Drosophila melanogaster: one gene and its partner. The protein of the gene in region 1 interacts with the protein of each later gene in a pairwise test. Each region holds a gene or a part of one and is shown on either strand. Other genes may lie near its edges.

What was found.
Region 2: the proteins of CG15577 (region 1) and mil interact in a two-hybrid assay, tested with the Drosophila melanogaster proteins (one large-scale study listed by BioGRID).

Annotation. Positions count from the first base shown.
Region 1 is NC_004354.4:4,275,753-4,278,948, forward strand, and holds CG15577 (uncharacterized protein), read right to left. Parts: upstream 1,249-3,196; 5' UTR 1,155-1,248; coding exon 855-1,154; 3' UTR 741-854; downstream 1-740. Other genes in the region: CG15578 (uncharacterized protein), read right to left, coding at 1,841-2,110.
Region 2 is NT_033777.3:27,910,351-27,914,430, reverse strand, and holds mil (milkah), read right to left. Parts: upstream 1,985-4,080; 5' UTR 1,864-1,984; coding exon 1,631-1,863; intron 1,566-1,630; coding exon 1,442-1,565; intron 1,378-1,441; coding exon 1,149-1,377; intron 1,090-1,148; coding exon 1,004-1,089; intron 950-1,003; coding exon 770-949; 3' UTR 646-769; downstream 1-645. Other genes in the region: CG5003 (uncharacterized protein), read left to right, coding at 1-393.

The DNA of each region.
Region 1 (3,196 bases):
ATATGCTTGGTTTTAGAGCTGAGCAAATTTATAGCTGACGAACATTTCCGCTTCCGTTTGCAATTACACGAGCGGCTAAAATAATAACGGACAGCGATTGCAACATCAAGATGTCCCCCACAATCTATTATTCCAATGGAACTCCAATAGACTTGGCTTATATCTTCACTTACTACTAGTGGATGTTCTTTTGGCTATACAAATTTCATTTGAAAAAGATGTACCTTGATTGCTTTCATAAATCGTACTAGATTGGTTCCGCTTTAAAACATCCATTTCGCGGCAAGTTCATTTGGTTTTAACTTCATATCGTCACTTTGCATAGGGGACCGAAGAGAATCGGGCACAGGGGAAAAGTGAGCTTGTGAAAAGTTGGCAGCACACAACCCCCTACCCCACCACCACCCACACGGTGATCAACTTCAAATTTTCACATTACCATCGCACCGTAGAATGTTTGATTTTCACCGCTTAATTTATGATTTAATTGCATATTTGGCGGTGCAATGCAAATATGCACCCCTCTGTGGTTGGCCTGCAATGCCACGCATTTCATTTAGATAACCACAAATATTTGCCACAGAACGCGTCTGCCACCAGAGGGCCAATCGGGCGTGAATAATTCGGTGCCAAATGTGAATTATTGGTGCACCTGCACATTAAGGCAATTAAATCAGAACAAAAAGACCCATGGGACATGATAATTTGTTAACTTCCCGACCAAATAAAACAACAGGATTCTCTATTCTGTTAAGGACTCTAATTAATTTCCAGGAGCTTTTGTTATATTCTGTTCGTGTACGCTCTGTTTCGGGGTATTCTTAATATCTGTAGGCTTGGCGGTTTCCCAAAGTTTAGCGGTTTGGCGAGGATCCAAGAGTAGACATCAGTTCACCAAGGCGTCGGGATCGCAGCGAAAACTGGTTTCCCTGGCGTTTCAGAATGCCGTATTCGACGCCATCGCGCAGGTTGACTTGCACTTGGCGATAGAACTCCGGATCGTTGCGTCGGTACTGGACGCCCAGGACGAAGTTCAACTCTTTGTCACTCATGGGTCGGCGCGTCTCCTCCAGGACGCGTAGTATGGACCTCAGTAGGTTGGGGACCAACTTCCGCTGTTGCGGCAGTGTGCGAGTCCTGTAGGTGACGGGCATGGTAGTAAAATTTTTTACATTTTTTTGTTGACTTTTTTATATTCCTTTTTTGGAAACCAAATGTGTAGACAAATTTTGCGACCGACTCGCCGGGCAGCCTGAGTCGTTATGAGCTCGGGAACGAAAGCCCCAGATACGTGTGACAGCAAAAAGGCAAGCCAACTACATGAATTTCCTGACTGCTTCGATCCTCGAAATTTTCACATTATCATCACTCCGTAGAATGTTTGATTTTCACCGCTTAATTTATGATATAATTGCATATTTGGCGATTCAATGCAAACATTCACAAATATTTGCCACAAAACGCGTCTGCCACCAGAAGGCCAATCGGGCGTGGGATTCGGTGCCAAATGTAACGTTTAACGTTGGTAAAGCACAGTTTCGACTAATATCTGACTTTGCAGGATACGGATTGCGACCCTGTTACAGCTGCTACTGCGTCGATTACCCGGATGTTCAACAATTGGCAAGGCCCTCTTTACGTATATAATTAAAGTGCATACTTTAAGACCGAGATGTATATATGTGTCCAAACGCTTTAGCCGCCGTTGCACAGTACAAAAAGCCCCATGGAACATGATAATTTGTTAACTTCCCTACCAAATAATAACCAAATAAAACAAAAGGATACACTGTTCTGTTAAGGATTATTCTTCTTATCTGAAGTGTGGGTTTGGCGGTTTTCAAAGGTTCATCGGTTTGGTGAGGATCCAAGCGAGCAGCGAAATCTGGTTTCCCTGGCGCCTCAGAATGGCGCTTTCGATGCCATCGTGCAGATTGATTTGCACTTGGGCAAAGAATTCCGGATCGTTACGTTGGTACTGGCTGCCCAGGAAGATGTTCAGCTCTGTGTCAGTCATGGGTCGGCTAGTATGCTCCAGGACCATTATAATGGACTTAAGTAGGTTGGGTACCAACCGACGTTTCGGCAGTGTCGTGAAGATGTCGGCCATGTTTAATTTTTTTGTCGTTTTTTTTTGTGATTTTTTTTTTTTTTTTGGGAAACCAAATGTAAAAGTATAGAAAAATTTTGTTACTGACTCAACGGCTGGCCTATATCGTTATTAGCTAGGTAGGGGAACGAAAGTCCCAGCTATTTGTGACAGTAAAAGGCAATGCCAACTACATGAATTTTCAGCCTGCTTCGATCCTTGCTTTTTGGCCTTCTTGCCGGTGTGCTTCAACAGCATGGCCAATTAATCAGATGGCGACTGTGGCGGGTTGAACTTGAATGACCTCGAGGCATAAAAACGAAAACTGCAACAACAAAGGCAACAGCCAGAAAAGCAACAAAGAGCAGGAAACACAGCAACTAAAGAAAGGCTGATCGAGTTGATAGTGTCTTCAATAAATTAAAATACCCACTAAAGTATCTTGATTTGCAAGTTAAAGTGCGCCTCTTATTTTGTAACTTTTAGATTTTGCGTTGCAAAAATACATGTATATTTCTATTGCATCTTTGGGTGCAACAATTTTCCGAGTGTAGCCAGGAAGCGAAGGGCCCACAAACATCAAGTGACATTCGAGCAGAGACAAAAAGTCATTATCACGGCGACGTCGGGCCGCTCTCATCTCCACATCTCCGCATCTCCACCACTCGTGCCCACGATCTCGGCCATATATACATATATGTATGTATACCCAGGATCCCCTTCGCATTCGCATTCGCATTCGCCTCATGTTCAGCATATGGAGCACGTGGTTTGGAGTCATAGTCATCGCCATAGTCGCCACCGTCTTTGTCGCCATGTTTTTTGCCTTTTCCGGCATTTTGTTTACGATTACTTTTTGTTTTTGTGCTTTTACGTAGCATCTGTGCAGCTCAGGAGTGCATTGAAGGGGGATCGGTGTAATTTGAGTTATTGGTTGCTATACAGTAAAATATAAAGGGCAGTATTGAGCGAAAAGAAGCCGCCGGTAATCATAACAGTTTTAAGTTTGTGACAAAATCGTACACAGCATATTTGCTGAGATGTTTTACTGTATAACTAATTTAGCCGAAACTCTTCGTTCCAAGCACTAGGTATCGTTTAGTCCAA
Region 2 (4,080 bases), on another chromosome or scaffold:
AGCTTTGGCCGAGCTGATCGACCGGTGCAACCGGACGTTGTCTGGATCCGGAACATCAATCGCTCGCCAGACAATAAACTGGAGCGACTGTCGTTGCGAAACTACCATCTCATCACAAATCATACCCTGGAGCACCTGGTGCAGTGCTCTCCGAATCTGGTGTATATCGATGTTAGTGGCACCAGCATTACGCTTCCGGCAATTCGGCGCTTCAAGATCTCCAAACCGAAATGCGAAGTGGTCGCCAATCACTTGGAGGAGTTTGAAAGACTTCCGGAGCTGGAGACACAGGAAGAGGATGACACGGTGGTGGTGATGCTGCAGCCACCGCCGCGCGCCGACGACGAGCAGCCACCGAAATCGCCACCGCCACAGGAGGTGGTGGCTCCTTAGAATATTGTTTGTAAAGATTCCGTCGAAGTGGGCCGTGCTGGATTATTTTATTTTTTTTTAAGAAAAAAGACGACATGGCCAAGCCGATGGATCCACAACGCTGGCTACAAGCGAGTGCTGTAGCTCAGCCATCTAGTATTACGTTTGACTATTCGAGTCCTTGTAATATATACACGCCAGGCTAAACGCACTGTATAAATCAAAACCACAATTCAATTCCTTTAGCTAGGCATTAAAAAGAGCGCGCGAGATCCTTTTGGTAAATATGTATAATGAAATGTTTATTTGGTTGGTATGTAGTGGGTAAGGACAGGCCAATAGTTCGGTGACTCGAGTTAAAAATGTATGTAAACTGTATATAAGCGGTGTAAAATGTTTACTTGTCGACGCCATCCTCCTCTTCGGCATCCGACTCGTCCTCGGTATCTTCCGACTCGGTCTCCGATCCGCTGGAGCTCTGACAATCGGCAATCTCGCCGGTGAAGAAGATCACCGCCTTGGGAATCACGCGCTCCTTTAGATAGAAGCCCACCTCAAAATCGTTTTGCAGCATAGCCTGTGGGAGGAGATGCATGTGAAAGGATCGCAGATCGCTGATATTCAATCTTACATTGACGTCACAGTAGTTGGGGTCAAGGGTATCTTCTGGCAAAAGCGGCGGCGAGAAGAACTCAAAGAACGACGGCTCTTGATTTTCTGGTCAATGAGTGAATTCAACTAACATCTGTGAAATTTGATGCTCCCAGATGGCTTACCGGTTTTGGTCTGGTCCTTGGTCTGCTTCCAGTCGATGACGCAGCCTTCGCACTTGTAGATCTCGGCGCCATCATATGCGAGCGGATCGTCTGGATCCGGCAGGCAGTTGAGGAAATATGTCTTGGTCAGCACCGTGTTGGTAAAGTAATCATTGGGATCGAAGTGGAATTCGATATCAAACTTCACCACGGGTTCGTTGTACAGCCGAGAACGGATGTCGCTTAAGCACTGCGCGGGAAAAATTTCAATTAAAATTTAAATATCCTTCAAATCGGATCTATCCATAACATACCTCTAATATTTTCTCATCCCTCTTGCTGATGAACTCGGTGTACGATGCTTTGAGAACCCTCAGCCAAAAGTTGGGCACGCTCTGATTGGTTTCCACGTCGCCGTGGTTTTGCTTTCTAAACTCACTGCACCGATGGGATTTTTGGGGGAATTGAGATCTTGTTTAACCAAACACCATTAATGGACTTACTCTAGAATCTTCTTGCGCTTATCAAATATGATATTGTGCTTATCCTCGTACTTCTTCTCGATATTGTAAATGTCGCGCTGCAGAGCCACATCCAGGTTAATGGTCTCCAAATAGAGCTGCTTCAGTTCGGTAAGAGTTTTCTTCTCCTTCTCGGTGAAGTTTAAATCCGATTCCATCTTCGGTGGAGCGGTGTACTTCATCCGCGGAGGGTTTCGATTTCGCACAGTTTCCATTTATGTTTCGACACGATAATCAAAAGAAAAATAAAAAAAATATTTCTTGAAGTGATTTGGTTTTGTTCAAGTATAAAATTTGGACGTGTGCGTTTTCGCTGTGACTGCCGTTGTGGGAATGAAAAGTAGCTCTATCAGTTTCCCAAAACTCCCAGCACAAAAGGCAAGGCCCGCTTTTCACTAAAGTGCTGGAACTAACTAGATGTACTAGAAAATATTAAGCAATTTATTATTCTTTTTTTTTAAGCTACATTTTTAAACCCTCGTGTTATTGCTGTTTTAGTCACCCCTTTCGCCTTACTTTGCCCATTGAGATGCAGGCCATGTTTATTGGCAATTTAACGCACATTTAATTCCTGCTCTTTTCCTGTTTATATATTTTTGGTTTCCCCAAAATTTTTTGTTTGCTTCCGCCAACTTTTCATTTGGCATGTAATTAAGTGTGGGCCAAAAGCTTGGACTGGGTGCCGCCAGCCTGGCCTAAGTGTATGCAAATCACGTGCTGAGTGCTGTGCCGCCAAGGGTTCAGGTTCAGCCATTGCCATCGCCATCGCCATCGCCATCGCCTCCTGGAGTCTGTTAAATGGACCGTGGACCCAGTTTCTGGTCTATCCGAGAGTCGCTTGTCTTTTGTCGCTGGTTTTAATAATGTGGGCCAGGCTTAGTGCCATATGTCCGGCTGTGAAAAACAACAGAAAAAAGTGAAAAAAAAGAGTGAAATTGTCGCTTAGGCAAACATTTCAAAATGAAATTATGAGTGGGCCAGTGGCGGCGGGCGAAAAAAAAGTGTAAACAAATTCAGCCAAGCGGAAGTCCAGACACACACACACACACACAACAACGCACACACACATCCGCCAAATGAAAGCCGCAGAGGATAAGCGGGAAAAGCGGGAGATCGCATTGTTGTGCGCTGTTGAATGTTTGCCCACAAATACAAACACACACGACACACGGCACATGCACTTGTCCAGTCTCCACAGGACATCCACCACTCGCTGCTCTCATATTTGATATTATTAAATTTTTTCCCTAAATACCGCTGGGAAATTAAAAAGAAATCATAACGCAAATAGTGTAAGGCAGCCAGGCATCTGATGATGACGGCTCTGGCTGGCCAATTTCCACATTTGTACGAGTGTATGCCTGCACTGTGCAAAATAATTGGTATGTATATATATTTCACGTCATTATCATTAGCAGGAATGGAATATGCAAGATAGTTAGGTATTAATCCAAATGAGATGGAAATCGATAGTTGGGAACTAATCAAGATCAACTAATCAAGGACTCTTCAAGTGCACAACCATTTAAGCTATTCGGGCATTTTCAATTTACATTTCGGTCATTCAATTAGGCGGTGCATAAAATGTAGCTACATAAGTAATGGAGCAGCCCCATCATCATCAGCATCATCAGGATCATTTGGAGGAACATGGGGACCATGGCCATCACCCACGTGATTGCCGCTCGTCGGAGGTCGTCAGTGCCGGGAGCGTCAACATAGTTTGAATTTAATTAAAACCAAAATTAGTAGAGCCCAGCAGAATGGAATGGTTTGGCGCAGCCCGACCAACCGGAGCAACAGTTACTTGGCGCAGGGATTAAAGCTCCTGCTTCAGCTCCTTCCTGGCAAAAGTGCATGTCTGCAGAAAATCGAATCAGGAGCTCAACATCCTCATCCACGAGCCAGGCAACCTGGCAGCCTGGAACTCCTACGTTTCCACCTGCTCCTGAAACTGAAGCAACGGCGCCATGCCGAAATATCTGCAACAAAAGCATAAGATGTAGTGCGGCATTTGATGATGAAACGACGTGTTAATTAAGGTCATAATAATTCAACTTAAATTGAAAACTTGCCCGGCCCCAGAAACGCAACCATGGCAGGGCATGGCACTCACTAACCATTTTTGGTTGGTCGGGCATCGGGCATCGGGCGAAGGGCATCGCATCCTCGGAATCCTGGCCAGGCTAAGCTGATTGCAACAAATTATTTTGCACCTTGGTTGAACTTTCCTTGAGCTGCAGGCAGCATGGCGTTCATAAACGAATTTTGTTAGTTTGCTTTGCTTATTTTAAATGGAACTAGGTGGTGGCCAGAACTCCCAGGATCTAGGATACGCGAGTGGCTGGTGCACCGAGGGACAGGGGCCAGTGTTGCCTTTGGTTTTGCATAAACCAGACAACGCATCTAATAAGTTGCAGCTGTCGGTTGCC